7 linked regions of the Neurospora crassa OR74A genome follow. The protein of the gene in region 3 purifies or fractionates together with the protein of the main gene of each other region. This does not show direct contact. Links are inferred from orthologs where the notes say so. Each region holds a gene or a part of one and is shown on either strand. Other genes may lie near its edges. The genes, in order: NCU02538, NCU01992, NCU10066, NCU04293, NCU08811, NCU04404 and NCU00493.

The links.
Region 1: the proteins of NCU10066 (region 3) and NCU02538 purify together in Saccharomyces cerevisiae (affinity purification with mass spectrometry, with the first as the bait; 5 studies listed by BioGRID). This does not show direct contact. The link is inferred for Neurospora crassa OR74A from reciprocal best matches to the Saccharomyces cerevisiae genes COP1 and RET3.
Region 2: the proteins of NCU10066 (region 3) and NCU01992 purify together in Saccharomyces cerevisiae (affinity purification with mass spectrometry; 8 studies listed by BioGRID). This does not show direct contact. The link is inferred for Neurospora crassa OR74A from reciprocal best matches to the Saccharomyces cerevisiae genes COP1 and SEC21.
Region 4: the proteins of NCU10066 (region 3) and NCU04293 purify together in Saccharomyces cerevisiae (affinity purification with mass spectrometry; 3 studies listed by BioGRID). This does not show direct contact. The link is inferred for Neurospora crassa OR74A from reciprocal best matches to the Saccharomyces cerevisiae genes COP1 and ERV41.
Region 5: the proteins of NCU10066 (region 3) and NCU08811 purify together in Saccharomyces cerevisiae (affinity purification with mass spectrometry; 4 studies listed by BioGRID). This does not show direct contact. The link is inferred for Neurospora crassa OR74A from reciprocal best matches to the Saccharomyces cerevisiae genes COP1 and GLO3.
Region 6: the proteins of NCU10066 (region 3) and NCU04404 purify together in Saccharomyces cerevisiae (affinity purification with mass spectrometry; 8 studies listed by BioGRID). This does not show direct contact. The link is inferred for Neurospora crassa OR74A from reciprocal best matches to the Saccharomyces cerevisiae genes COP1 and SEC26.
Region 7: the proteins of NCU10066 (region 3) and NCU00493 purify together in Saccharomyces cerevisiae (affinity purification with mass spectrometry; 8 studies listed by BioGRID). This does not show direct contact. The link is inferred for Neurospora crassa OR74A from reciprocal best matches to the Saccharomyces cerevisiae genes COP1 and RET2.

What each region holds. Positions count from the first base shown.
Region 1 is NC_026501.1:2,662,421-2,666,562, forward strand, and holds the start of NCU02538 (coatomer zeta subunit), read right to left. Parts: upstream 2,801-4,142; 5' UTR 2,628-2,800; coding exon 2,588-2,627; intron 2,508-2,587; coding exon 2,406-2,507; intron 2,322-2,405; coding exon 2,081-2,321; intron 2,008-2,080; coding exon 1,764-2,007; 3' UTR 1,527-1,763; coding exon of another isoform or gene 1-1,526. Other genes in the region: NCU11234 (translation initiation protein Sua5), read left to right, coding at 1-1,526; NCU02539 (cell division control protein 54), read left to right, coding at 3,302-3,626, 3,690-4,142. UniProt on the Saccharomyces cerevisiae protein: The coatomer is a cytosolic protein complex that binds to dilysine motifs and reversibly associates with Golgi non-clathrin-coated vesicles, which further mediate biosynthetic protein transport from the ER, via the Golgi up to the trans Golgi network.
Region 2 is NC_026501.1:1,752,650-1,756,794, reverse strand, and holds the start of NCU01992 (coatomer subunit gamma), read left to right. Parts: upstream 1-1,345; 5' UTR 1,346-1,517; coding exon 1,518-1,593; intron 1,594-1,692; coding exon 1,693-2,003; intron 2,004-2,070; coding exon 2,071-3,385; intron 3,386-3,448; coding exon 3,449-4,145. Other genes in the region: NCU01991 (hypothetical protein), read left to right, coding at 1-149, 213-552. UniProt on the Saccharomyces cerevisiae protein: The coatomer is a cytosolic protein complex that binds to dilysine motifs and reversibly associates with Golgi non-clathrin-coated vesicles, which further mediate biosynthetic protein transport from the ER, via the Golgi up to the trans Golgi network.
Region 3 is NC_026507.1:2,814,662-2,818,749, reverse strand, and holds the start of NCU10066 (coatomer alpha subunit), read left to right. Parts: upstream 1-1,288; 5' UTR 1,289-1,719; coding exon 1,720-1,749; intron 1,750-1,831; coding exon 1,832-1,881; intron 1,882-1,996; coding exon 1,997-2,123; intron 2,124-2,191; coding exon 2,192-2,492; intron 2,493-2,572; coding exon 2,573-2,811; intron 2,812-2,873; coding exon 2,874-4,088. Other genes in the region: NCU02349 (UDP-glucose:glycoprotein glucosyltransferase), read right to left, coding at 1-313, 373-521. UniProt on the Saccharomyces cerevisiae protein: The coatomer is a cytosolic protein complex that binds to dilysine motifs and reversibly associates with Golgi non-clathrin-coated vesicles, which further mediate biosynthetic protein transport from the ER, via the Golgi up to the trans Golgi network.
Region 4 is NC_026505.1:5,525,040-5,529,122, forward strand, and holds NCU04293 (COPII-coated vesicle protein), read right to left. Parts: upstream 2,631-4,083; 5' UTR 2,019-2,630; coding exon 1,934-2,018; intron 1,842-1,933; coding exon 1,251-1,841; intron 1,155-1,250; coding exon 691-1,154; 3' UTR 501-690; downstream 1-500. UniProt on the Saccharomyces cerevisiae protein: Constituent of COPII-coated endoplasmic reticulum-derived transport vesicles. Required for efficient transport of a subset of secretory proteins to the Golgi. The C-terminal Ile-Leu motif is required for exit from the endoplasmic reticulum.
Region 5 is NC_026504.1:5,157,952-5,161,997, forward strand, and holds NCU08811 (arf GTPase-activating protein), read right to left. Parts: upstream 2,801-4,046; 5' UTR 2,465-2,800; coding exon 2,393-2,464; intron 2,316-2,392; coding exon 2,180-2,315; intron 2,108-2,179; coding exon 1,924-2,107; intron 1,831-1,923; coding exon 1,073-1,830; intron 992-1,072; coding exon 651-991; 3' UTR 326-650; downstream 1-325. Other genes in the region: NCU08810 (mitochondrial import inner membrane translocase subunit tim-21), read left to right, coding at 3,155-3,463, 3,534-3,779, 3,867-4,046. UniProt on the Saccharomyces cerevisiae protein: GTPase-activating protein for the ADP ribosylation factor (ARF) family. Involved in retrograde vesicular transport from the Golgi to the endoplasmic reticulum.
Region 6 is NC_026504.1:3,471,260-3,475,554, reverse strand, and holds the start of NCU04404 (coatomer beta subunit), read right to left. Parts: upstream 2,801-4,295; 5' UTR 2,363-2,800; coding exon 2,061-2,362; intron 1,996-2,060; coding exon 1-1,995. Other genes in the region: NCU04405 (mago nashi protein), read left to right, coding at 3,166-3,203, 3,271-3,308, 3,392-3,487, 3,547-3,610, 3,673-3,760, 3,823-3,963. UniProt on the Saccharomyces cerevisiae protein: The coatomer is a cytosolic protein complex that binds to dilysine motifs and reversibly associates with Golgi non-clathrin-coated vesicles, which further mediate biosynthetic protein transport from the ER, via the Golgi up to the trans Golgi network.
Region 7 is NC_026503.1:4,047,318-4,051,523, reverse strand, and holds NCU00493 (coatomer subunit delta), read right to left. Parts: upstream 2,801-4,206; 5' UTR 2,521-2,800; coding exon 2,518-2,520; intron 2,462-2,517; coding exon 1,827-2,461; intron 1,772-1,826; coding exon 961-1,771; intron 899-960; coding exon 809-898; 3' UTR 449-808; downstream 1-448. Other genes in the region: NCU00494 (hypothetical protein), read right to left, coding at 1-16; NCU00492 (hypothetical protein), read left to right, coding at 3,849-4,206. UniProt on the Saccharomyces cerevisiae protein: The coatomer is a cytosolic protein complex that binds to dilysine motifs and reversibly associates with Golgi non-clathrin-coated vesicles, which further mediate biosynthetic protein transport from the ER, via the Golgi up to the trans Golgi network.

The sequences.
Region 1 (4,142 bases), on a different chromosome or scaffold from region 3:
TGAAGGGAACTATTTGCGCCAATATTCTAACTCTCACTACCCGATTCAAACGCTTGCACCTCCCACAACTCACCCCAATCCTCAATCGACACCACCACACTATAACCACAGACATAACTAGACCAAAATCTACGGCAGTGCCATTGATGGCACCCGCTATGACAACTTCGACGACAATGGAAACCCGGATTCTCAAAGTGAAGGTGGACGACAGCAACATCCAAGTGCTCGGCCACTGGAAGGAGGAGTCAGCAGAACACAAAGATGGAAGCAAAACGAAAACTAGCAATCTCAACACATGGGAGGTCCCAACTACATCAGAAAATGAGAATATACTGTCTCCCATCCGCGAAGCAGCCCACCACCTCCGCACCACCGACATTCCTGTCGCCTTCCCCACGGAAACCGTCTACGGCCTAGGCGCCGATGCCACCCGCAGCGCTGCCGTCAAGGGAATCTATGCCGCCAAAGGTCGACCAAGCGATAATCCTTTGATCGTGCACGTTTGCGATTTGAGCATGTTACGGTCATTCATCTCTCCCTCCTTCTCCTCAGCAGGAGACGAAGAAGACCCCATCCCAGCCATCTATCACCCCCTCATAACCCGCTTCTGGCCCGGCCCCCTCACCATCCTGCTACCCAACCCCTCCCCCTCCCTCCTCGCTCCGGAAGTAACCGCCGGCCTACCCACATTCGGGTGCCGAATGCCCGCCTCGGCGCTGGCTCGCTCGCTGATCAAACTCGCCAACGCCCCCCTCGCCGCGCCCTCTGCGAACGCCAGCACTAAACCCAGCCCCACCGCCGCACAACACGTGTTAGACGATCTACGGGGTCGCATCGCACTGATCTTGGATGGAGGATCATGCAGCGTAGGGGTGGAAAGCACGGTCGTCGACGGGCTTTGCTCGCCGCCTGTGGTGCTGAGGCCGGGCGGGGTCAGCTTGGAGGAGATTAGGGAGTGTAAGGGGTGGGAAGGCGTGGAGAAGGCGTATAAGGATCAGGCAGAGGTCGGAGGAAAGACGGCGCCGAGAGCGCCGGGGATGAAGTATAAGCATTATAGCCCGAAGGCGAGGGTGGTGTTGTATGAGGCGGAGGGAGGGAGGAGGGAGGTACCGAAGGCGGATGTGAGGGAGGCGGTTGAAGCGGCTGGGGAGGAGGAGGGCAAGGGAAACGTGAAGAGTGTTGCGGTTATTAGGACGGGGAGATGGCCTGTTGCCGGGGGGTTGAGGAGTCAGGGGCTTGATGATGTTGCTGCGAAGGACAGCGGGGACGTGGCCGAGACTGGGTTCGCTGTCAGGGAAGGGCAATGGCTGGATGAGGACGGCACCACGGTGTTGGCAAGGCTTCTGGAGATTGATCTGGGCAACGATGTCAAGGGGGTGGCACATGGCCTTTTCGCTGCCCTCCGAGAGCTGGACAGGCGCGGCGCGGATGTAATATTCGTAGAGGGTGTGAGTGATGGAGACGATATCGCGGCGGCGGTCATGAACAGGCTGAGGAAAGCCGCTTCCGACATTAGAATATAGACGGGGTCAAACCCTATAGATCGCAAGGGAAAAGACTATAACTCCTGTTTTCTGCTAACCCATCACTTGTTGGCTTTTCGTGTCTTTTTGCTTCGCCTTTGGCTCATTACTCTGCCATAAAAAGGCTCGCCAAACAAAAGGGCCTGATACCTTTTTACGAACCAATGCGCCAACTTTACCTTGGTTGCTCCCATCCGCCACACTCCTTCCCTTGTCATTACCCACCCGCACATGCCCTTAGAGACCCTGACGAAGCCAGTCAGTAAGCTTAGCCTTGCCTAGTTGTGCCAAGTTGTTGACACCCTGCTCGGTGAAGGGGTCGAGGCGGCTGAGGTTGACATCGGCAGGCGGCGCCTTGCTGCATCGTTGAATGATGATGGTGGGATCGGTCTCGAGAACAACGCCGTCATCCACGATTTCGTCGATAGCGAGGGATACCAGATCGTAGTTTTCGACTATCGTGCGCTTGTCGATCGATTGCCTGAGTAGAAAGTCCGTGGTTAGCCAAATCATGTCCCATGACCGGCACCTTCACGTTCGCCATAAATACTCACTTGAAGAGCATATGCAAGCTGTCCCTAAGCGCCAAAAGTACGTTGTAGAGCAGAACTTCGTTCTCGTCCGCGCTACCAACGACGTAGATAGCAACGTCCGACTCCATCTTGTAAAGCACCACCTTGTTGTCGTAGAGGAGGATATCGCCCGTCTGCTTAGCTGTCTTCTGAAGGAGGCCCTTCTCGAAACGGGTTTGAGAAGTCTTGTCGGGATAGGGGTTCTGGGAAGCGCTCGAGGAAGCTGTTGTGCACAAGGTTCGGGCTGGTCAGCCTTACGGGAACATGCGACACCGAATAAGGGGTAAAAGGAGCGTCTATTGCGTACCGAGTCCGGCGGCCACTCCTGTTCCTGGTGCGCCAGCGGCAGCGTGAGGAGGAGTGTAGTATTTTGAGAATATCCGCGAACCGTCATCGCTGGAGAGGATTACTGTTGGAACGCAATTGTCAACATTGCTCGACGTGGCGCGTATAAGCCAGGACCCAGGAGCAGCGTGGTGCCTAGTGTACCTATAGCGTTGACGCTATACAGCGACATTCCTGGCGACATCTTGACTGGTTATCTGGGGGTTCTTGTTTCTTGATCAATTGCTGTCTCGAGACTGGTATCGGTTGGAGAAGGTCGGCGACGAGGGGCAACTCGACTTCAATGGGCGCAAGTGGGTAGGTATATAGTGGTTAGCTTGAACTCCAGAGGTGCTGCGTAGGTAGGTAGTGCTCACAATGACCAGGGGCAGGCGGTATCGTTGGTTACCGTGGTGAGCGTGGGTATTGTGGGGTGAAGCGGTCCCTGTGATGTGGCTTGAATCCAGAGCGAACACTCCAAGCGAGGCCCCACGGCGCGGTACGTACCTTACGTACCTGACAGTTCGCACTCAAGAGCAGCACTGCAGTGGCCTCGTCCGTCTCATTTGGGTATGACAGGGGTTTTAATGGGTCAACGCGAGTAAGCCCCCGCAGACACGAACGGCCGTGTAAAGTGCTTTTATCAGAGACGCGTGTGTCGCGACTGTCTTTTTTTTCGATAGGAACGTGATCCACCTTGCCCGTCCTGAACACGCTGCCGACCTGCCAACCACCTCGCAATTACAGAGGGATCGGGAGCCGCCACAACAACACTCCAGCGTCTCCATCCCAACCTGCCCGTCTTCTGTCCCTTCTTGTTGGTTTAGTTTCCATACTTTGTATTATCTCAACAAAACCACCGAGGACAGAGTAGTAAACATGTCTTCCCCAGCAAAGCGCAGAACAACGAGAAGCTCCCAATCAGCTACTCCCCGCACTACTCGCAGCTCGCAGGCTGGTCCTTCGAGCGCAACTCCTCGCCAGACACGCGCATCACAGCTTGCCTCTAGTCCCTTATTCTACGAGCCCTCCTCGCCTGCCAATGGCGCCGCCCCGGTATCTTCTCCCTTGAGGCAGATGAGCAATACCCAGAGCACTGCCCACCAAGGCAATGCGCCGAGCTCGCCTTTGCGCCAGCAGACAGAGACCCAGAGCGATGCTGACCGAACTCCTCGCGCAAACGGACGGAGCCAGTTAATTGGGGGTATGGCTGTCAACCAAAAAAAAAAAAAAAAGGACTACACTGAATGCTGACCACACTCCGCAGACTCCTCTCCCATCCGCTATGCCTCCAGTTCTAGCCCGGGCCGTCAGCTTACTCAACAGTCCGATCTTCGTAGCGAAAGCAGTCAGCTCTTCGTCAGCTCGCAAAGGTCCGTTGCCGGTCGATCCCGTCGAGGCGACATCAACGGGGACCCTCTTCGTACTCCCGCCCAGATTCCCCGCCGAATCATCCTCGACGACGCCGGTCGTGTGATCCGCGATGCCCCTGGCTCCGATGCCAACTCGTTTGTCACCAATAACCCCAATACCTCTGAGGCAGATGCCCTTGGTGGACAAAGCCAAGGTCTTGTTTGGGGTACAACAATTTCTCTTGACGATTCGTTCTCCGCGTTCAAGGACTTTCTCAGGAACTTCACCAGGAAATACCGGATGTGGGCAGATGGCGCGGACGAGGCCGAGACTATTGGCCATCCGGATGCGGATTCGAAGCCATATT
Region 2 (4,145 bases), on a different chromosome or scaffold from region 3:
AGGATGTTGATCAAGGCAGTGGATACGTACAAGTGTAAATGGAGCGTCATCGAGAAGGAAATAAAGGAGGGGAAAATCCCTTTTGAGCGCCCTCGTGACCAGCAGGCTTTGCGAGACAAAGCTCGCTTGCTAAAGCAGGACTTCTTAAAGTGAGTGACTTGACGCCTTGCTTACTAAACCTTATCTGGCCGCTACTGACACGTCTGGTACAGGGCTGATGCTATTTTGCCTCCGTCCTTTGATCTCGTTGTGCTGGGCAAAAAAGAGAAAGAAGCTGTGAAGGCATGCGGCAAAAATCCCGACCGCAAGGAAGACGACGTCCGGAACGGGTTTCCCATCAATACTGATTATCACGCGCAAGAGCCGATGCAGGAGCAAGCAAGCGCCGCCGAAGCGGAGGACCAAGCGCAGGTGCAGGGCGAGGAACAACCGGACATGCAACTCGAAACACAGGCGGAGGTACAGACTGAGGCGCAACCCGAGGCCTCGGCAGTGGTCTCAGATGAGGTGCCTGTCGATGCAGAAGCGATAGAAGCTGCTTCCACATCATAGGGTCCATTTGTGTATCCGATCGCTGATGCTACGCAGGTGAGGGCCGTAGCAGGAGAGTGATATAAGAAGCTGTGCCTAAGAGTACGCCCCAAAAGAGAGCAAGCAAACATACTAGAAAACAAATCATGCTTTTATGAGCCAAAGCAAGGCTATATGTCCTTTTGGAGGAAGACGAAAAGGAAGAGATGGGTACAATGGATGCTCGGACCAACTGTATCCTTAAGTACAGGCTGGGACTACCGTTGAGGAGAACCAATTGACAGCAAGAAGGGCTCACGATAATGCAATTTGAGTAAAGTAGTCAGTATCAAGCTGTCATTCAAGCCGAAAGGGAAGGCGGCCACCTAGACCGAGTGTGGGATGTAAAGCTTGGCACTGAACAGGTCCAAGTAAAGTATCAATAGTTATCATGGTGATTACTACGTACTAGCAATCTTGGTTCTATTTTTCCTTCAGAAGCACAAGTGAGGTGACCTGGCAGGTTGAACAATGTCAAGTTTGTCTTCCAGGAACAACATCCCGTGTGATTATATTGAAAATAATTAAACTCGATGATCTACTCAGGAGGCGGGAGGGAAGCATCTATGTAGAGGTAACTAGGTATGTACATATTGGAAGGGTGGTCTGTGCGCTGTAACACCCGCTCCTTGAGGTTGACGATGCACATGGAGAAGCTTGCTCCTGCCGGGAGGCTTTCAGCCTCTAACTGGCGAGACTGGCAGCGTGGCCCGGGAGCACGGACTCCCTGACACCTCAGTGGACTCCCCCTCGACTGTGCAGTGGAATTGGCAACGTCGCGGGTTTGGGGATACCCGCTTGCTGGCCGCACCGTCGCACAGGCAACACGCTACTCCGTTATTTCGTACCTCTATTGTTCTAGCCTCGACTTACTTGCCTCAACAACAACAACTTGGGTTTCCCAAATCCACATCACACCTCCAGCACCCATCGTCGCCCTGCCCGCCATGAATTACGGCAAAAAGGACGAGGATGCTGAGACGGGTCTGGTCAAGGTCGACCGGACCCAGGTCTTCCAGGAGGGTGAGTCCGAGTACCTTGGCAGCTGAGGCATTGTTCGTCGGGTGGACGTGGCCCTTATACTCTCCTAACCTCCTCAAGACTGACCGGTTCGACATACAGCCCGCCTCTTCAACAACTCCCCCATTCAGCCGCGCAAATGTCGTATCCTCCTCACCAAGATTGCTCTCCTCCTCTACACCGGCGAAAGATTCCCGACAAACGAAGCCACGACGCTGTTTTTTGGTATTTCGAAGCTCTTCCAGAACAAAGATGCCAGCCTACGACAGATGGTCCACCTTGTCATCAAGGAGCTGGCCAACTCGGCCGAGGATATTATTATGGTTACCAGCACCATTATGAAGGATACTGGCGGTAGTACCGATGCCATCTACCGCCCGAATGCCATCCGCGCCCTTTGCCGCATCATCGATGTAAGCCTCCCCCTTCCTCGACCCCTTAATGGTTATCCGATGTGGAGCTAACCCCGACCTTGTGCAGGCCACCACAGTACAGTCCATCGAGCGTGTCATGAAGACGGCCATTGTCGACAGAAACCCCTCAGTATCCTCTGCCGCCCTCGTATCGTCATATCACCTTCTCCCCGTCGCCAAGGACGTCGTCAAACGGTGGCAGAATGAGACCTCGGAAGCGGCAGCTAACACCAAGTCTACCGGCGGTTTCTCCCTCGGTTTCGGATCTTCCAACAGAGATCTGCCCATCAACAGCTCGACTATGACCCAATACCATGCCATTGGCTTGCTTTATCAGATGCGCATGCACGACAGGATGGCGTTGGTGAAGATGGTCCAGCAGTTCGGTGCTCCCGGTGCCGTCAAGAACCCCGCTGCTCTCATGTTGCTCGTCCGTCTTGCCGCCCAGCTGGCCGACGAAGACCCACACCTTAGGAAGCCCATGATGCAGCTGCTGGATGGCTGGCTCAGGCACAAGAGCGAAATGGTCAACTTCGAGGCCGCAAAGGCGATTTGCGATATGCGGGATGTCACCGACGCTGAGGTCACCCAGGCAGTCCATGTCCTCCAACTTTTCCTTACCTCGCCCCGCGCTGTCACCAAGTTCGCCGCTCTTCGCATTCTCCACAACTTCGCTTCGTTCAAGCCGGCGGCCGTTGCTGTATGCAACCCGGACATTGAGCTCCTCATCTCCAACAGCAACCGCTCCATCGCTACTTTTGCCATTACTACCCTACTCAAGACCGGAAACGAGGCCAGCGTGGATCGTCTGATGAAGCAAATTTCTGGCTTCATGTCTGAAATCACCGATGAGTTCAAGATTACGATTGTCGAAGCCATCCGTACTCTATGCCTCAAGTTTCCCAGCAAGCAGGCCGGCATGCTCCAGTTCCTCAGTGGTATTTTGCGCGATGAGGGTGGCTATGAGTTTAAGCGCGCCGTGGTGGAGAGCATGTTCGATCTTATCAAGTTCGTCCCCGAATCTAAGGAGGAGGCTCTCGCTCACCTGTGCGAGTTTATTGAGGACTGCGAGTTCACCAAGTTGGCAGTCCGTGTCCTTCACCTCCTCGGTCTTGAGGGACCCAAGACATCCCAGCCTACCAAGTACATCCGATACATCTACAACCGGGTGGTTCTCGAGAACTCCATTGTGCGCGCCGCAGCGGTCACTGCCCTTGCCAAATTTGGTGTCGGCCAGAAAGATCCTGAAGTCAAGCGCAGCGTAGAGGTTCTCCTCACCAGGTGTCTGGATGATGTTGATGACGAGGTTCGCGATCGTGCTGCTCTCAACCTCAAGCTTATGAAGGAAGAGGATGAGCTTGCGAACAGGTTTGTCAAGAATGGTAAGTTCTCGTCTACTTTATGTTACGTTTGCCGGATGCGATCACATACTGACATGTCAACAGACAGCATGTTCTCGTTGCCCTTTTTCGAGCATCAGCTCGTCACGTATGTTACTTCTGATGACAGGTCGACATTCGAGGCGCCTTTCGACATCTCCAAGATCCCTGTTGTTACCCGCGAACAAGCAGATGCCGAGGATAGGACCAAGAAGCTTACTGCTACGACACCTTCACTCAAGCCACCCAAGGTCGGACCAACCAAGGCGGCTCCCACCAGCGCCGAGGCAGCCGCATCTGCCTCGGCAGCTGCGCAAAAATATGCGCAGGAGTTGATGCAGATTCCCGAGATGGCAGAATTTGGCGCCGTTCTCAAGTCGTCGCCGGTGGTAGAGTTGACCGAGGCGGAGACCGAATACGTCGTTGGAGTTGTCAAGCATATTTTCAAGGAGCATATTGTGCTCCAGTACGAGGTCAAGAACACCCTTCCCGACACCGTATTAGAGAACGTCTCTGTCGTAGCTACTCCCGCGGAAGAAGAGCTTGAAGAATTATTCATTATTCAGGCTGAGAAGCTCGAGACCGACGTTCCTGGAAAGGTATATGTGGCATTCAGAAAGGTCAGCGGTGAGGGTTCGCTACCAGTTAGCACCTTCTCCAACGTCCTCAAGTTCACCAGCAAGGAGATTGATCCCAGCACCGGTGAGCCTGAAGAAACCGGCTACGATGACGAGTACGAGGTTGCCGAGTTTGACCTGGCGGG
Region 3 (4,088 bases):
GCTGGCTTTGCAGTATTGCTTCCCGTTGAATAGGAACCACAGATCACATCCGTCCTCATCGGCCACTACATATGGCTCAACAGCAGTGGTATAGTACTGATAATGAGCCTCGACACGGGGCGCAGCGGACCGCAACGAAAGAGCCAGCTTGAAGGTCGACAGCGCCTCAGCATTCACATGCCCATCTTCTTGAAGAACCTGGAGGAACTTTTCATAGAGCTCTTTGTCGGACTTGGCCTGGGCAAAGTCTCCCTTGGCAATGCGGTCCAGCAGTGGGAAGTAGGCAGTAGCATTTTCGGAAGCCGCGGTTTCGCTGGATTCGGATGTGAGAATGGTCCGGTGCGAGTGAAGGAGGAGGGCCAGGGAACTTACAGGAGCTCTACCAGATACGGAGGCGAAGGAAACGCGGCCTTGAGTGCGACGTCTACAGAGGGAGAAGCTGCAACGTGGTGCGAGGGAAGCCATGTCGCCGTGACAATGGCTGCCGCTAGACCCCACGGCAGCTGGGAGAGACGGATCATGGTTGTCTGGACCAGGAAGCAGGTTTATTTATGGTGACGCAGGGAGGTAATGCGGAGTTAGAAGATTGCTCGATGAGATGGCTGCCTGTTTTCAAAGCTCAATCATGAGTGGGATGAGAAAAGGTGCCACGTTGGATGTCACCAACGTGAAACGGCACAGCTCGAATGTGGTGGTGGTGGTGGTGTTGGTGTTGGTGTTGTAAATAGAGCTATACAAAACGGGACAAGTAAGAGGTCACCGGTTTACTCAAAAGCGTTCAAACAAAATAACAACCTCGGTAATCTGGCAAAGTCACCAGATACACATGGAGTGGTGAAATTGGGGATAGCTTCACAAACAAGTGGGCGCTGAGGTTCCTGCCGTGTGAACACCTCGCCCCGGCTGTTCAGTTGTACACTAGTGAAGCAACAGAGCTCGCCCAGTTCGGTCTAGCGTCTGAGGGAAGCTGTGTACAGGTGGCCGCCAGGGTTCATCCGTCTCACATGGGAGGTTGTGGCTGGTGCGACCCTTGACTTGCGGCCCCTTAAATGAGGCTTACGCATGCCGTAGCCCCTGAATTGCGGATCCTCTGTGTGTTTATGGCGTGGCGGTGCACGACTAGGTGGAATCGATGAGTGCCGCTGCCCGCTGAGGCCACGCCAGTCGTGTCTGCAAGGCCCCAACTGCAGTGGACAGACAGGTGCTGTGCGAGTGGCAGCTGCAGCGCCCGCCAGCACTGAATGGGGAGGTGAGGTCGGTGCGATGGAGATGCCACGCTTCCCTACCACACAGGTAAGGGTAGTATGGATCCTAACAAGTGGAATTGAAGCCGCCGCCCGAGACCGTCCTGTCCACTCCAGCACCTCAGCTCCGTTAGTTGATTGTGAGTGCCTGGCATCCATCGCGGACCTTGTTTCGAACGACTGGTCCTACACTGAGCACTCAGCTTGTACCCGACACTCAGTCTACCTCGACACTTCCTTTCCACTTTGGCTCCGTTCATTCCCCAAACCACCACGCCGCCGCCGCCACCACCACCCCTCCTCCTCCTCCCACCCTCCGAACGGCAATCCCCATCTCCCATAGTATTTTGCGACTTCACGGCGTCTCGGCTGATCGCGTCCTAATTCCCCCCGTCTCCCACTTAAATACTTAATCCACCTTTCCCACGTTGATGCCGGGAGCTTAGGCTGTGCTCCCCTTAAAGCCACTGGCAAGATGCAGGCCTCCTCGGGAATGCTCACCAAAGTACGTTGCTTGTCGTCCACTCTCCATGTGCCTTCTCCCCAGCTCGAGCGTGTCTAACATCTTACCTTACCCCTGTGCGCAGTTCGAGTCCAAGTCGTCGCGAGCAAAGGGCATCGCCTTCCACCCCAAACGGTCAGCCTCTCCGTCCCCACGAAAGAGCAGAAGCTCCCCCGTCACTTGACCTGGGTCTTGATGTCTACGCCTGTCAAGAAAACCAAACGCGAAACTAACATGGCCTTGCCTCCAGACCATGGATTCTCGTCTCCCTCCACTCCTCCACCATTCAGCTATGGGACTACCGCATGGGTACCCTGATTGACCGATTCGAAGAGCACGATGGCCCCGTCCGCGGCGTTGATTTCCACAAGACACAGGTGAGCTCCCTGTTCCCTCGATGCGCCGAACCCGAGTTATCGACAGCTAGCTTACACATCCGTTACAGCCCCTCTTCGTATCTGGCGGTGACGACTACAAGATCAAGGTCTGGTCTCTCCAGACTCGGCGCTGCCTCTTTACACTCAACGGCCACTTGGACTACATCCGCACCGTCTTCTTCCACCACGAGCTTCCTTGGATTGTCAGTGCTAGTGACGACCAGACGATTCGGATATGGAACTGGCAGAACCGCTCCCTGCTCTGCACCATGACGGGCCACAACCACTACGTCATGTGCGCCCAGTTCCATCCCAAGGAGGACCTCATCGTTTCCGCCTCCCTCGACCAGACTGTTCGCGTTTGGGATAGTACGTGGTGCCTTAGCTGGGAAAGATGGCATGGATATCTGCGGAATACATGGATGGCTGACCATTTTGTCTTGTCACAGTCTCGGGCCTCCGCAAGAAGCACTCCGCGCCCACGTCCATGTCCTTCGAGGACCAAGTTGCTCGCGCCAATGCCAACCAGACCGACATGTTCGGCAATACCGACGCCGTTGTCAAGTTCGTTCTCGAGGGCCACGACCGCGGTGTGAACTGGGTTGCCTTCCACCCCACCATGCCCTTGATCGTGTCCGCCGGTGATGACCGCCTTATCAAGCTGTGGCGCATGAGCGAGACCAAGGCTGTACGTGTTGTGAGGATTTGTGCATCTGATGACAACTTGCTGACTGAACCAACCATCCATAGTGGGAAGTCGATACCTGCCGCGGCCATTTCCAGAACGCCAGCGGCTGTCTTTTCCACCCCCACCAGGACCTTATCCTTTCGGCCGGCGAGGACAAGACGATTCGCGTATGGGATCTTAACAAGCGTACCGTAGTCAACACCTTTAAGCGGGAGAACGATAGGATCTGGGTCATCGCTGCTCATCCGGAAATCAACTTGTTCGCTGCTGGTCACGACAATGGTGTTATGGTGTTCAAGCTCGAGCGCGAGAGGCCCGCTTCCGCCGTTTATCAGAACAACATCTTCTACATCACCAAGGAGAAGCACGTCAAGATGTACGACTTCCAGAAGAATGTCGAATCGCCCACGCTTTTGTCGCTCAAGAAGCTCGGAAGCCCTTGGGTGCCCCCAAGGACGCTCTCCTACAACCCCGCGGAGAGGTCAATCTTGGTCACTTCCCCGGCGGATGGTGGGTCGTACGAGCTCATCACCCTTCCTCGCGATGGTTCTGGAGCTATCGAACCCACAGAATCCAAGCGGGGCCAGGGCAACTCCGCTGTCTTTGTGGCTCGCAACCGTTTCGCTGTTCTTAACACTGCCACCCAGACCGTCGATATCAAGGACTTGACCAACAACACCACGAGATCGTTCAAGCCCCCTGTTGGCACTACCGACATCTACTTCGGCGGCACCGGCAACCTCCTCATCATTACTCCGACCGCTGTTCACCTCTACGATATCCAGCAGAGAAAGAGCACTGCCGAGCTGGCTGTAACTGGCGTCAAATACGTTGTCTGGTCTAACGATGGTCTTTACGCCGCTCTGCTCAGCAAGCACAATGTGACAATTGTGACCAAGACCCTGGAGCAGGTTAGCACTCTACATGAGACTATCCGTCTCAAGAGTGCTGCGTGGGATGACGCCGGTGTTCTGCTCTACTCGACTCTCAACCACGTCAAGTACACGCTTCTTAATGGCGATAACGGCATCGTTTGCACCCTCGACCAGACTGTTTACCTCACCCGTGTCAAGGGTAGAAACGTGTACTGCCTTGATCGTGCTGCGAAGCCCAAGATTTTGCAGATTGACCCCACCGAGTACCGCTTCAAGCTTGCGCTTGTCAAGCGTAACTACGAGGAAATGCTACACATCATCCAGAACTCGAGCTTGGTTGGCCAGTCAATCATTGCTTACCTTCAGAAGAAGGGCTACCCTGAGATTGCGCTCCAGTTCGTC
Region 4 (4,083 bases), on a different chromosome or scaffold from region 3:
GGATGATGGTACCCGGTATGCATAGCATTCGCATATGCGAGTGCATGGAGCCATACGCCAAAGAGGATAAATTTTGCATTTCAAGTGCTTTCCAAAGAAGCGAAAGCAAAATTAAAAACATCAAAAGCATGCAGGGAAGAAAAAGAGCGGCACATTTGGGCGTTTTGGGTTTTCGACATATTCCCTGGAGGGGATGATAAGAGTAGAGAGATTTCTTCGTCTTTTTTTATAGAAGCGTCTGTATACCCGGAAGAGCGAATAAAGTTAACAAAGATTAACTCTGTTCCGTTTATGAAATATGTGTGGTGCAAGGACCTTTGATATGCAACACGGCTGGGAAGGTAGGACAGGCAGTTAATCTACTACTTCCTTATCTACCTGTCTACCACCGGTTAAATAGACATGAGGTCGTTTTAAGGCTCAGTCAAACCTTACCAAACCTTAGCAGTACTACTAACAGCGGCAATCACAGCATCGCTTCCAGGTTACACAGACATGGACATAAGACGAAATAACGGAACGTGTAAATATAGACGCTACCAACGCTGTGAAAACCTGAAAATTCTGTAGATCTTTCCAACTCAATCTCGACGTCTCACCCAATTTCTTCTACATCCGTCTATCTTTCTCTCTTTCACACTCTACCTGTCCTCCACAACCACCACATTTTGGTTTTTCTCCCACCTACAACTAATCATCACGCTCATGTCCCTTCCCACCCAACATACCCTCACTCGGCCCTCCGGCCCTCCTCCTCCTCTTCCCCCACACCTCCTGACACCAATCACTAATCCTGTACCCCCAATGACCCGCCACCAGCGCACCACTAATGACATTGACGACCTTGATGATAAAAACCAGGAAAGAATCCCGTTCCTCGTCGATGTGCAGCAGAATCGGCTCAATGTCGTACTTGACAAAGATGCCCGGGATGATGCGCTCCGTGACTTCCTGCGACTGCTCCGTGACGGCGTACTGGTTCGTGACGATGGATTTGCCTGACGACGAGTAGACGGTGGGGACGACAGAAATAAAATACTGGAACTTGTGGAAGTTGGCCGAGGCGATGTTGACGGTTTGGTCGAGCGGGTTGACGAGGGAGGGGAGAAAGGGGCCGAAGGAGAGCTCGGAGATGATGTGGGAGAAGTTGAATGCTGTTTTTTGTTGTTGTTAGTAGCTGTTGTTGTGGAAAATAGAGTTGGATGGTTGAAGTTTCGGCAAAGGTAAGAGAAAGAGAAAAGAAAACAAACCAGAATGATCCAAATGCTGGCCAAACTCCATATATCCATGTCCTTTGGCCGTAATATGAAAGTCGCCCTGGACCTTGTTCAACTCCAGACTGCCAAACACCCTACAGCTGTCCGGCGTCGCCCCCCACAACCGCGGCGTCCTCGCCCACTTGGCCTTCCGCCTGCCCAAAGAAACAATATCATGCACGTGCTCCTCCCCAAACCCTTCGTCATGCCCCTGCCCCTGCATGTACCCCTCGCCCGTAACCACCTTGCCCTGGGCGTCCCGTCCCAGCTTGTGAATCCCCTTGTTGTCGACCCAGTGCTGCCACACCGTCGGGTCGCGATGCAGCCGGGAGGCAGCCAGGATGCGGTCGCCGGCCGCGTCTTGCACGTTGATGTGGATGTCTTGGCACTTCATTTTGACGACAATGTCGAGGTTGATGTCGAGGGCGTGGGAGACGCCCTTTTCGACGGCAAAGGTGTGCGATTCCGAGCCGCGCCACCAGCGGGAGGCTTCGGACCAGAAGAGGATGAAGGAGATGAGGCCGACGAAGACGGTCCATTTGCCGCCGGCGGTGGTGCGGGTTACGTATTGGGGTTTGGATTTGGCTGTGTAGTAGTAGGTAGGACTTTCATGTTAGTTTATTTGAAGATGTATGAAAGCGCATTGGATGTGGGAGGGAGGGGAGGGAGGGACGTACGGAAAGCGTCAAAGGCGCTGACTATGCTCCCCTTGGCGCCAAAGGCGTCTTCGTCTAGTTGACGCTTCTCGTCGTAGCCGTTCATCTTTATGCGTGTATGTGTTTGTGTATCGTAACCGGAGTTGCGAAAAGGTAAATATGTCTGGTTTCGTATGTTGGATGCGATTCAGCACTGCAATCCGTGCCGGTGTTGTTGGTCCCCCTTCTTCCTCTGCCACTTGTCAGGGCGGCGGCGGCAACCCAAGCTGTCGGTTGGTGGTGACAGTGACCACTGTTTTCCGTTTTGAATTTCTTTTCGATTCCAATCTACAGCGGATTTCTGATCCTGAGCTACCGCATTGGTGTTTTTTTCGAAAAGCACTTTGTCGTCGAGACCCGATGGTGTAGTTCCGGAAGGACACAGCCGGCTACTGCTGCAGGTAGCTCTTGTCCTTTGGGGGAAATTGCGAATGCGCCCACTCAGCTAATTCGTCATCCGGTTCGCGAGGATTGGCTCGGTTCGTTGGACTAAACAAATCCACTCAGTCCCTGCTGTGGAAAGAAAGAGGATGAAGATTCAAGCTATGTACTAGTACACCAAACACTGAAGAAAGCAGAAGCAAGTTCTATGGAAAAAGGGTGGTGATCCTGGCGGCTGAAAGACACCGGGCGTTCGTTCCCTTGCATGGATGAGGTGCCATTCGGAGGACATTCATCGATGAGGACAAGTGGACGTTGGTCCCCGCGAAACGATCCGCCGTGGCTTGGCGTTTGGCCGTAGATCCCTGTGTGCCTGACAGGGGCCTGTTACGGGAACTACGCTGGAATTAGCTCGAGCATGCGCATGGCTGGCGGGAACCCGTTTGCCATACTTAACCCTGACCCTGACAGGCCTGCCTTGCTTTACCCCTGAATCGTCGTCAACAACATCACTCCGTTACCGTTACATGACATTTCGTCTGGTGTTAGTAACAACTTCTTCGCCGGCATTTGACGAGAATTCAGGATATTTTCTGAGGGTTCCTACGTGCCTGATTACAGGTCCAATTCTCTAGACCCTTTGTTTTGTCCAGTTGTCTTTCTTTGAATTTCCGAGCATATATCACGGTGCTGGTTACGATCTCTATGTATCTTTACGTGCTCTCAACGACTCCTATCACGGCAGTAATCCGTTTTCAAACCCGTCTCCCTTTTTGAATGTTATGACTCCGTAACTGTCCGTCCTTCTCGTGTACCTCATAGCATTGTTGGCCGTTCAAGGCTTGGTCTCTGATGTATTGGCTTTGTGTCCATGTTGTTCAAGGGAGTCCGGACTTTATGGATACGAGGTGTAGGCGTGGTGTGTTTGTACAACACTCCCATGGAAATCTAATTGGTTTAAATCTCTTGGTTAACATATCCAAGCGCTTCTGTACCTATCCAGTTAGCCCCCCATTTTGATGAAGATGACCTAGCCGTACTTTCAGTGTGCTATCTTGGATACCCGTGATGATTCTGATGAATGTTTACATATCGAAAATATGTTAGGCATGTTTAAGGTTGTTGGAACGGCTGTCTTTGAGGACATGTATCAATCCAACAAAGAAACAAGTCCTGGACTGTATCCGCAACCTGTAAAAGTCGTCACGTTAGAACAAAAAGGATAGTAGTCAGATGGAGAGCTTCGTATTGTGTTACACTTGATGTATCCTATGTAAGATGCCATACATTTTGACCTGTTAATTTTTCAGTTCCCTCTATTCGCTTGGAGAAGCACCATTTCAGGTAATTTCATCCATTATTGTTCGCGATAACAAACAATAATCAAAAACGGACGGGCAGACCGCCGCGCGGTCAACCACTTTCTTAAATCGTTGCTACTGAATGATGGAGAGTTTATCGTTGGCAGATACGGTACTGCTCATTGCCATCGATGCCATAGAACCCAATGGGATAATGCCCAGGAAACTCCTCAGGCCCATTGTCATATCCACAAACATCTTTATTGCACCTGCCCAACATCTCGTTGACTGAATCCTGACATTCTTTTGACGGGAGGTTCTGGCCTTTCTCGTCTCCTGAATGGATTCAAAAAGATAGCTGGAGGCAACTTTCTTTGACATCCCGCTATCAATGCAGCGCGCTCACCAGGTCCCTTCCTCTCCTCGAACAAATATCAACCTTCATCCCTC
Region 5 (4,046 bases), on a different chromosome or scaffold from region 3:
AAAAAAAAAAAAGGGGGCCGAGAACATTAGGTCAATAAAAAAACAAAAACAATCGCAAAAAAAGAAAGTTTGGTTCATGATCCGACCCAGGCTCGATCTGGGGACCTTCAGTGTGTTAGACTGACGTGATAACCAACTACACCATCGGACCAGCTGTTGTTATTGATAGAATTACGCTGAAGGTAGGCCCTATATCAGTAGCTTCTATTATGGTTGCGCGAGTCAGTTATTAGCAAAAATCTCGCTGAAACCCTGATCAACATCACGATCTCTCCCTGTCAACCTCGACTGCCACCGTAATCGAAAAACCGTACGCTATAGAACACCATCATATCTCTTTCTTGTTGCTTGAATACTTCCCGTGGTCACTTACCAAGATCCCCCTACGCCACGGATGTGAGAACAGCTCATCCAGATCCTGGCCGTCATCCTCTTCGTTAGATATCAGAAACCCGCATCATCTGCCCAGACTACTAGTGCTCTCTACCATAAAACATTCATTCACCATTACACTACAAATACTAATTTTTACTAAAAGGAAGCCTTACCCGCTCGTCCACATCTTTCTGTCTCATAACTAGGTAATTCCCTTCGCCCATCACGTCCAGCTGCCCACCCACACTGCTGCCTCATTCTTCCATTTCCACCGCTCAGCTCCCAAGATAAGCCCTGATAGCACCCTGCAACCTCCCGGCACCCTCACCCACCATCTGCGTAAGGTTCTCCAGATCATCGCTGGCAGTGATGCCAAACTTGCGAATGAAGTCCTTGGCGGCAGACTCGAGGTCGCCGTAGTCTTCGGCGGGCGCGTCGTCCTCGGGACGACCAAAGTAGGCATTGGAAGAGATGGCCTGGGCACCCTCGAAGCCTTGTAGACGGGCCTTGGTCTCGGCCTTGACCGAGGGGTCGTAGTTGCCCTTGTTGAAAAACTCGTCCGAAGAGATGGCCTTTTGGTTGGCGAACTTGTTGCGGGCGTATTGTTCTTCGTCGGCTGTTTCGTATCGATGTTGGTTAGTATTGCGTAAGAAAAAGAAAAAAAAAGAAAGGGAAAGGAGGGAAAAAAAAAACATACCCTCACTAGCCTTAATAGGCCCAACACTTCCAAACCCACCCGCATTCTTCTTCGCCGCCGCCGCTCCTCCCGCGCCCGCCGCAGCACCAGCACCACCGGGCTTGCCCACCATACCGAAACCCAGCTTCCTGACACCCATACCTAGCCTCTCCACCTCAGCAGCCGACTTCTCCTGCGCCGCCGACCGCGAACTGGAGGAGCTGACTGGCGCCGCAGCAGGGGTGATGATATTATTGGTCTTGGTCTCGGCCTTCTTCGCCGCCTTCTCCTCCTCCGCCTCGGGATCGTAACCCAGCTTCTCGATGCGCTCCGCCTCCTCCTTGGCCTTCTTCTCCGCCTCGTCGAAATCGATCAGGTCCGCCGAAATCTTCTTGACGCCCAGCTTAGCCGCGGGCTTCTTGGCGCCTAGGATGCCGCCGCCCACCTTGCGCGGGCCGCCGGTGGTGCTGCTGCCGGGGGTGGTTTTCCTTAGGGCCGCGGAGGTGGTGATGCGGCTGGCGGCGGGGGCGGGAGTGGGAGCATCGGAATCGGTCTTGGAGAGCGGCGAGGAAGTGCGCTGGATGTCCTTGCCGTTGCCGAGGAGCGGGGAGGCGGTGCGGCCGATGACGGGGGGTGTGGAAGTGCGGGAAATGGGTGGCGTGGGCTTCTTGATGGCGGGCTTGTCCCACGAGGAAAAGAAGTCGTCGTCGGGCTCGCCGGCCGGGGTGTTGCTGCTTGTGGCATCGTCACCGTCGGTGATGACAACTTCTTCGGGGTATCTGGGTGGGAGGTAAACAGCGCGTCAGCATTGCATTTCATGTAACGTGGAATAAAACAGGTTTGTGTAAATGAGGGGTAGGGGCATTGCATACTCGCGGGCGTCCCTAGCAGCCCTCTTCTTGAGCTCCTCCTTGTACTTGGTCGCGGCAGCAGATTGGTACTTGGTCTTGGGGTCCTTGCTGTTCAAGGCGGCGGAACCACCGTTTTGCTGAAAGAACTTGGTTGCCGACTCATTGCCGCCCACCTTCATGATCCGTAGCTGGTCCCATTGCCATTCTGTACAAGAACAAGGTTCGCGTTAGCGGGCGAGGTGTCGCGTCGTGGAGTAAAGATCGAGAGGGCACATACGGTCGAGGTTAGTAGACCGCACAAAGGAAATGTGAACGCCGAGGTTGCGGTGGTTGGCCGAGCAATCGAGGCAGAGGTAGATGCCAAAGGGGACCGAGGTCCATGTTGGGTTCTTTTGGCCGCAGTCGAAGCAGATCTGTTGTTCGCGGGAAGGGAGGCAGCAGTTAGCTTTCTGGATGTCTAGGGTCGATCGCTGCTCGCGTGGGCACATACCTTGTTGGCTGGCTTCGCCTTGAGCTTCTCAAAAAGCTTGAGCGACTGCTGCTTTGTCGCGAGACCGCTCATCTTGTCGGTCGGCAGTCCGGTGATGGTTCGGATTAGGTATGTCTGTCCTTTGCCAGGGTTGTGATGTGTCACTAGATCTCGACTGTCGTTGTTGATGACCCCTTTGCTCGGTTAGGTTGTCAGGGTCGGTAGGTCGGTGCTGCCGTCAGGGGGGGGAAGGTGAAAAAGGGGGCAGAAGAGGGAGAGAAGTCAAACAAGGCGGCGCTGTAGGTTTTCGGGCTTGTTACAAGTTGTCAATCTTTCAAGTGTTGTCATTCGCTCGCAGTTAATTCAGGAGACGGGGGGGGAGCCCCAGCGGAGAGAGCCGGGCTGCCTGGCAACCTACCTACGTACCTGTATGGTATTGGAACGTCCACTGGAACGTTGGGCCACATTTCTTTGTGTTCCCCAGCCAAGAATCAGACGCTTCCACTTGCTCATGGAGGTTCGCCCTTCCATGTGGCATCTTGGCGCCTTGGCACACAGTCCCGTCTCTACCTAGTGGAGCGCAACACGAACCCGACTCCACCCCTCGCCGGACGGACCTCCTCTGCCGGGAAAGATGCCGTGCCGGCAAACGGTTCCAAAGCTTCATCCAACCGCAGCTCATCACAGCTTCGTTCGGACCTCTCATTCTCATTGAAGCTCTCATAACAATCGCAAACGGCTGAAACATTGCCGTTGAAATATGGGTGTTGTGTTGAAGCCTCCATGATGAAAATGCTCACAGGTACTTCGGCGGGTGTGAGGCTTCTTCTGAGCCCCGCCGTGGTCCGTCAACAAGCAACCATTACCACAGCAGCTTCGAGAGCTCTTCCTCCGACAGCAGCTAGCGTCATTCTCGTCTCATCGCGCCGGCAATATGCGACTACGCAAGAAAGTTCCAAGAGGAGATCCGTAACGCCCTTCAATGATGATGGCCATGTGCCCTGGACTCGGCTCTCCACCGGTGAAAAAGCCGGGCGCGCCGTCCAGCAAACGTTCAACTTTGGTCTGGTGATTTTGGGTGTGGTTTTGACCGTACGCTTTCTTCTTCCCAATTCATCGCTCACTCCGGTGTGTTGTGTGTAGTACTAACTCTACCACACAGGGAGGAATTGCCTACCTACTCTTCACCGACGTGTTCTCCCCAGAGTCCAAAACCGCCTACTTCAACCGAGCCGTTGACCGGATCCGTGCCGACCCTCGCTGCGTCGCCCTTCTTTCGCCCGGCGACCCAAAGAAGATTGCTGCTCACGGCGAAGAGACACACAACAAGTGGCGCCGGGCGCGGCCGATCGCGGCAACGGTCGAGAAGGATAATAGGGGTGTGGAGCATCTAAAGATGCATTTCCATGTTCGTTTTACTTCTTCTTCTTCTTTTTCTTTCCCCTGTTTTGTTAAAAATTTGTTGTGATGATGGGGCTAACACCAAGAAAAACAGGTCGAAGGACCAAGAGGTTCTGGTGTCGTCGGGCTGCATCTGACCAAGCAACCAGGTCACTGGGAGCATGAGTACCAGACCTTTTACGTGGATGTGAGGGGACATCAGAGAATTTACTTGGAGAATAAGGAGGCAGAAGTGGCGGCTGCTAAGAAGGGTGGCAACAAGGAGTTCAAGTTC
Region 6 (4,295 bases), on a different chromosome or scaffold from region 3:
ACGGTAAGGTTCTGGAGGGTCTCAGTTGTTTGGTTGACGAGTAGTACGTCTAGTACAATGTCGAACTGGTGGACCTTGACATAGGCCTCAGCATAAACAGGGTCGGAGAAACCGGTGAGCTGGACAACGCGGCTAAGCTTGCCAGATAGGTCCTCAGCCGAGCTGTTGTCTCCACCAGTGGCACGCTCGAGATCGGCATCGAAAGCATCAGCCCCATCAGTGGCATTCTTCTTGGAAAGCTGGCGGATTTGATAAACATCGTCCACCTGGGTGGCCGTCTTTGCCTTTTGGTGGGCCTCTTTTGCTGCGCGCTTCTTCTCCTCAACCTGGACCATCGCCCTGAACGCCTTCCTGGTATCCTCGAGATAAACGGTCTCCAACTCCTTGTGCGCGGTGAACTCGGCAAGGGAGCGCACACAGCTCATGATACGATCCACCGAATCTTCATCAATAGGGGCCTTGACGAACTGCGACTGACCAACACGAATGACGGAGATCATGATGAGCATAGCCTCAGCGCGGAGGGCGTTCGTGCGAGCCTCTTCCGAGGAGATCTCGGCATGACGCATGACAAGCTTGGTAAGGGTCGATGCGAGAACAGTGGCAAGGTAGTAATCGCCGTCAAGGATAAGTTGCCTGAGAGGGGGCTTCGACGAAGCCTTGACAGCCTCCAGGCGTGCAGCAGCTGTAGACTGGCTGGTAAGGGCAGTCTCGGTAGCGTATGTGCCGTCAGCAAGGACCTTGCGTGAGCCAGTCGGCGCTGCCCTTGAGCCATTGACCTGCTCCTTCTCCTTCTCCTCGGCATCACCATCAACATTATCCAGCAACCGTTGCTCGGATGCCAAGATCGGGATCTCACCCAGGCTTGCCCGAATTCTCTTCCATGCGTCCCTGATATCCTTCTCCTCAAGCGAGTACTCGCCGATAATCCAGAGAATACCGCGGTAGATCTTACCAGCGCGGACTTCACTCAGGGTATCTACCAGTCTCGCAATGATTGCTGGCCTGAGCTGAGGGAACTTCTCGACGACCTCCTTGACAAAGTTAATAACATCAACGGCGGAGTTGTTGTTGAAATCGGCAATAAAGTCCATGAGCAAGCCGACGACGCTAGCGGCGACTTCGGAGAACTTGATAGCGCATTGATGGATGGAGTGGATAAGAAGCTGGCGGTACTCGTTGTTCTTCTCGTACTCCTGGTCAACCGTCTTGGACAGCTCCTTCTTGAGCAAAAGCACGACTTCCTCCACGTTCTTGCTGGAGACCATCTCCAAAGCGATCTCGAGACCCTTCCTCCGCACATCGATATCCGTGCTAGAGAGAACGCGCAACACCTCCATGGTCAGGTCGTCCAGGACGCCGGGGTTCTTTTGGCGGAGTTGATCGACACGGTCCAGAACGATAAGCTTGACATTGTTATCCGCCTCCTTGATCGCAAGCTCAATGAACTTGCTGGCAGCAGCCTTGACAGCGACAGGGTTGTTGGTGAGGGCCGTCAACGACGAGGCCGCTTCGTAGATAACGGTCGAGGCACTAGCTTCCAAAAGGTCAAAAATAAGACGGAGGTAGCGCGCCTTGTTCTGGGTGTTGACAACAGCATCTTTCCTGATGAACTCCAACTCGGCCAACTGCAAAAGCTCATCTGCGTTGGGAATACCGTCAAAGACGGTGCTGAGATAGAGAAGAGCCTTGTCGTGGTCGATGCTGGCAAGGGCGGCGAAGCCATTCCGCTTGCAGGTTGGGTCGCTTTCGCCTTCGAGGAACGTGGAGATCAAGTCCGCAGCATCGGGAATAAGCGACGGGGAGTGCTGGTAAATGGAAGCGACAGCAAAGACGGCGTTCTTTCGGACATAGGCATGGCGATGTTCGAGACAGCCCCGGGCTGAGGAGAGCAAAGGCTCGAGAAGTTCGGCCTCCCGCAGCTTGCACAGGAAGCGCAGCGTGTTGCCTCGGATGTACTCGTTCGGGTGTTGCAAGTCGTTTCGGATGCCGTTACTGCGAGGCAATGGCTGGTCAGCTTGGAGGGGCCAGCATGCCCAGACGGACACGGAATGCCTTACCATACTAGGATGAACTCCTGCTTGAGCTTCCCTTGGGCATCAAGCTTGGGGCAGATCTCATAGTAGAAGTATAGAAGCTTCTTCAGGGGCTTGGATTTAGAAGGCATTACGAATCGGATAATGTGCATGAGCAATTGGGGCATGGGATCGCCATTGAGCATGATGGTAAGAATGCGCTTCATGGTCTCGATCTTGGTCTCGTCGGTGCCCTTTTCGAGCTGCGTCTTGAGCTCCTGCACGGTTGGGGTGCCGTCGACGGCATTGTCCTTGACCAAGCTGTAGGCATTTTCGAGGAACGACATGTTGGAGAGCTGGCGGCGGCCGGGCCGTCTTTGATTAAAGTTGAGATTGAATTTGGTAGAAAGTAGCTGGCCGGGCGTCCTGAAGAGGAGTCGCGGATCGAAATTAGAGAGGGGCGGGTGTGGTAAGGTGTTGTTTGCCCCGTTGTAGGTTGCGTGGTGCTAGTAAATGGATGGACTGAGTGGCTGCCTCGAGCTCCTGAAGAGTGACGATGAGCTGGCCTTGGTGCTGGATGTGGTTTCCTCCCCCTGGACTGACAGGGTCGTGGTTGGCCGAAAATCAAGAGACGGCTGCGCAATGAAAGGGTTGTCTGGAGTGCGCCGGCGAGGTGAGAGAGCGGAGCATCACCTGTGCTTGTTGTTGAAGTCTGGAAGAGCCAGCGTGGATAGGACGGTCAATTCTATCGAGAGACGGCCCCTGGGAGATGTGGCATTCTGGCCGGCCGCAACAGCACACGGCGAAGCACGGACCCCCCGACACCCTTACGGCCTCACCAAGCCTCCATCTCCTGGCCGAGTCTGCCATCTGCCAGCTTGTCCAAACAGTCGAAGGATCACGTGTAGATACGGATTGCCAGCTGTCAGGAAGGCTCGTGAACCCGGAGTCAGCTTGGAGCCCAAACAATGCCCCTGGGCCAAGCTGGGGTCAAGTGTGGGGCCGTGTGCCCCGCCAATGTCACTGGAGCGTGGCCGCGCGGGCGCGACTTTCAAGGTTGTCCATCCAAAAGCGACAGGAACCAAGCCGCTGGCTGCATCTCTGCCTCTTGTCTTGCAAAGCCTACTACTGACAGAAGCAACAAACAGCCATGTCAGCCGCCAACGAACCCTTCTATCTGCGCTACTAGTATGTACACCCCTACGGGATTCGATTCACTCACACATTGAAAACACCATGCTAACAGCCGGCTTAGCTCTGGCCACTCGGGCCGCTTCGGCCACGAGTTCCTAGGTGTGTTCAGCCATTTGCGCCTCGAGACGCAAGCTCCCACGTTTCCACGACCACGATGCTAAACTACCGCCCTTTGACTACAGAGTTCGACTTTCGCGTCCTCGGCGACGGACGTAGCGCCACTGCCCGATATGCCAACAACTCCAACTACCGTAACGACAGTCTGATCAGGAAAGAGAGTAGGAAACACTGTTTAGCCGGCCGTGGACATCCATATACTGACGAGGGTCTCTTTTAGTGTGCGTCAGCTCTCTGGTCATTGACGAGATCAAGCGCATCATCAAGGACAGCGAGATTATGAAGTACGACATCATGTTCACCCTTTTATACAAACAACATGGAGCGGCTGCTGACAGGCCAACAGGGAAGACGACGAGAAATGGCCGACCAAAAACAAAGACGGAAAGCAGGAGTTGGAGATCCGCCTCGGGAACGACCACATTTCATTCGAGGTGCGTCTTGCCAGTGTCGGAATCTATTTCTGCAAAATGTTCAGAGCTAATACAGGAAATAGACTGCCAAGATCGGATCGATCAACGATGTTACGGACTCGGCCGACCCAGAAGGCTTGCGCGTCTTCTACTACCTCGTTCAGGACCTCAAGGCGCTGGTGTTCAGTCTCATTGCCTTGCACTTCAAGATCAAGCCCATTTAATCTTCCGACACGAACGAATACCCCGAGTTTGATATATCCTTACTCATGGAAAGGAGAGATTTTGTGGGATAATGCGGCGTTTTATAAAGGCGTTCTTTTCTATCTATTGGCGGCGCAGATGGGTTTCTTGAAACTGGATTTAACATGGATAACTTCGGGACTGGCACAATCGTATACATTATCGACCAATCGCCCCACTGGCCCCCGAACCTAAGAGTCGTCATGGCTGTTTGTGTCAGCTATTGATGATGACCAACCAAGCAGTGTGAGGCAAGATATCCGATGCAGTTGCCAGGCGGAGACCGAGTGATGGAACACCGACATCTCATTAC
Region 7 (4,206 bases), on a different chromosome or scaffold from region 3:
GCCCATTTGGGGACATTTTGTAGGATCCGTTGGTGACTTTCAGTTGGATGATGTTATTTGGACGTGGAAAGCAGCGGCTAAGTGGTTCCAGCCTTCAACTCCGGGACGCAAGATTTTGATTTGAATGACACGCGCAAGTCCATAACTTGGCAAGTCGGTTTGTATGTTTGGGGGATTTCGGTTTTGGTTTGCTAGACCTACAGCTTCACTTGCCTCGGCGTGATGTTGTTGTTGTTGTTGCTGCTGTTCTGCGATTCAGTCGTGTGGTCTCGTCCTGCCTGTTGATTCAAAACACAGTGCAGATAGAGCAGTTGCCACAGTAATAGAAATACTGTGCAGGGGCATCCGTACTGTGTAGGTATGACCTTTACAAGCTTACCTAGCGAACTACACACATCGACATCAATTACCATACTCTGTGCTTACAACAGCGATGATTGAGTTGGATAGCTCTTTGCGTAGATAGGCTTCTTTCTATATGGTACTGGATCATGAGGGTATCCATCCCCTTAAAAATGCGTAGGGCTCGTAGCTTACATGTTACTTTCAAGGATCCCGGGAGCGTCAAAAACCTCTTGTTCAAAAAGTCAAGTATGACCTTGGGTATCAACGGAAGAAAAGGAATGACAGCTCGAGCACCCACTGGCGCGGACCATGTACAACAGTATTCATTATAAAGGGAGTTGGACAACTCGGTTGCTTCCCATACATTACTCTAATTCTGGTGTGGAAGATGATGATCGAGACGCCTGGCCGGCATGCTACGGTCGCCCTTTTTTGGTTCTGCTCAAAACAATGACAACAAACCCTACTCAATGAGGAACTTGTCGGCCACCGATCTGATGTCCTTGGAAAACGAAACCTCTTCACCTTCATCCACCAGCTCAACAGATTGAACCTAGAATGTGTCAGTTGTTCCGTCTTTACCCGTTTTTCTGACATGAGGGGGCGACATCTTACATCAACCTCCACGAACGGCCACGACTTGGAGAACCGTACTTGCATCGGGAAGAACTCGTTCTCGTCATCGGTCTGCGCCTCAAACTCGAATGATCCGCTGGCGTTCTCCTCGCTTACGGTGCCTATCGACCACTCTAGACTGTCACCAGACACCTCATACACAGCGTCGAAGCTAGACACCTGAGGCTCTGCGCTCGTGTAGGGGATGACGACAGTAACGTCCTTGAGGGTATCTCCGCCAGTGAGCTCGTACTCGACCGTCAATGTGCTGTTGCCATCCGAGCCCTTGTTGACCCAAACGGTGAAGCTGATTGGTAGTGCGCTGGTGTCGTCGACTCTGGGACTGGCCCGCCACCTTAGAACTCCGACAGAGTTGTTAAGGGGGAAACCCTTTGTGATTTGAGACAACTGGATAGCCTGGGAGCTATTGAAGACATTCTTATCGACGTTCGGGTGAGTGCGGAACTGGGCGCCGTGGGTGGGTGTGGCGCTGAGGTTGAGCTTGATCCTTGAAAGCGATGGGTCGGAGACGCGAAGCTGGAGGTCACCGCTGACCGAGAGGGATTCGAGGGCACCATCTCTCGACAGCTTGGCACTGATTGCCTCGTTGATAAGGACGTGAATAGCATCCCTGTCGAGTGTCGAAGAGACTCTGGAAGCAGCAGGCTCTGCGGCAGCTGCCGGCGCGGCTACCGGAACAAGGGGCGCTTCCTCGGCCTCGTGTCCAAGATCCCCCTTCACGCGCTCGAAAATATCCGTATTCTTGGACTTCTTGCCCAACTGCATACCTTTGCCCTTTGGCGCATTGAACCTAGAAGAATGTGAGCTTGCAGGCCAGCCTGAAAAGAAGAGGGACTAACACATACTTGACCTTGTTCTTCTCGGCTTCGTACGTATCATAGGACTCGGTGACAGCAGGTCGCACCGGCGGGGTGTATGTGGGATATACCGGCGTCCGGGGTACCGCGGACCGACCAGTTCTGGCCGACTCCTTGCGCTGCATCTCCAACTGCTTGGCTTTCCTCTTGCGCTCTTCGGTGGCCTCCAGCTCCTTGTTGCGGGCAATGATTTCCTGAATGCGCTCCTCGTGGCTTTCCATCTCGAGGAAGGTCTTGATCTGGCTGATGGTGAGGTTCTCCCGGTAACCGAGAGTCACCAGCTCATCGAAGGCGCTGAGCAGTTCGTAGGCATTTCGGAGGATTTCGCGCTCGTCAAGGCTCTTGCAGGTGCTGGTGACAACCTGGGCAAAAAGGTGGAGCGAGTCGATGTCCTGAAGGATGTTGGACTGCTTGTTGGTGATGAGGACCATGTACAGCTCGTCCAGGGGCTGGTAGACGAATCGGACATTGTCTTGCTCGACAATGGTGTGCTGAGTACCCGAGTCGGCGGCCTTGGGGAACGAGGCGAGGAGAGCTTCGATGCGGGAGCGCTTGATGTCGTTGAAGGCGCGGGCTAAGACGGCCTTGCCGCCGCGGGTGCAGATGGAGGCAGCGAGGACAACCTGACATGTTCCGTCAATCGCTTCTTCCCACCAGGAGACAGGGATGGATGAGTTACCATTTTGACAGCAGTAAACAACAACCACGACTACTGACTCGAAGGGCGCTTCGTGGTAGTGCAGGGAGCTTTGGGATGCGTTGGAGGTAAGTCGTGAGCTTCACCTCCTGAAAGTTGTCGTGGACGGGAAGGTTGATGTGGTCTTTCCGTTGCCGTGCTGAGGTGTGCTGTCGGTCAGGTCCAATTGAACTGAAGGTGCCATCTGGAGGGACCCAGCGGGCAGCGATAGGTAGAGGTACCTGGACGGCAGCTTCACTGCAGCGTCAGGGCAGTCGGGTTCAGGCGGGCCAGGGCAACCTACTGCGTACACGGTGGCAGCGTCCTGGCCGGCCGACGAGGGGCTGCCAGCTGGCAAAAGAAATCCAGGGGCACACCATAGATACAAGTACAGTAGGTAGGTACCTCTAGGCACCCACAGGGCCCGCTAAACTCCATGCGGCACTTGCTTAGGTTCAGTTTCCTTCCTATGATCAATTCTGCGAATTTCACCGTTGTCCACACACTGCGGCAAAACCAACAACTGCACCTCTTTCTTCAACACGCACAACAGACGGCCCCGTGTGTCGAAATTTCACGATTTCCATTTCCATCCAAACCATCGCCTACCTCGAAAAACCATCCGCCATCGAGAAACTTGTTTCTCAATCGCGTCAAAGCATTGCCCAGCCAATACGAGTCTCGATTACGGATCATCAAATACCTACGCTACCTTTGTGACACGCCTCGTCATCAAGAGCTTACTCGACTCCGTTGCACTTCACCCACCTCCCAGCTCCGCCGCTCCGTGAAAGTGAGGCATCCCGATTATCTGCCTGCCGCGTTTCAGCATTCCATACCTCGATTCGATGTGCACTTTTGCCCAGAACATCCGCCCCAGAACTCTTAACAGCGGTTAAATCGTGTTGTCGGATTCCGCCAGTCCACGTGTCGCCTCACATCCCTTCACCGTTTCATTTTGCGCCCCAGAAGCGCCGTTGTTTGTCGGGCGTTCTTTGTCGAGTGCGGGGTTGCCCATTCTCAGCCATAACTCCAGAACCCGTGGTCTCTATATGCCCTACGGCTTCGCTTCCAAGAAGAAGTCACAGCCTTTCAGTCCAAGACATCCACCGAAACCCATCGCCAAGCTTGGGGTTTTGACCAGTGCACCAATTTTCTACGTCTTCGCTTCTTTCATGACGCTTGCTGGACGTACAATTTCTTGACAACGGCAATACGTCGCACCTTCTTAGAAACTTCGTGGAAGTTTTGCGTCATTTTCCAAATTTTCGTTCTTGATCCAACTCACTCGTCTGTGGCGCGTGTTTTGATTGACCCGCCAACCGCCAATCATCATGGAGCAAGTTAGCTTCGACGTTCGTGCCGAGGCGGGGAAGGCGGTATTTGACGATGACTTGATGCTAGATGCCGGCATGCCAGCCGACGAGCTTGTCTTAGAACTCGACGACCTACATGACAAGGAAGATGAGTACCAGGCGATCGATCTTGATGCCCAACCCGCCACAGCGGATGTTGAATTTGCTGTCGATGACCTCGAGGCTCAGCATAATACCAACGATGAGCAAGCAGAGGCGGCAGGCGGCGTCGAGCAAGATGCTCAGGATGTCTCCATGGCATACAATGACGAGATAGGTTATGAAGAGGAGGAGGGCGTTGCAGAAGAGGCTGTTACTGAACACGAGCCCGAAGATA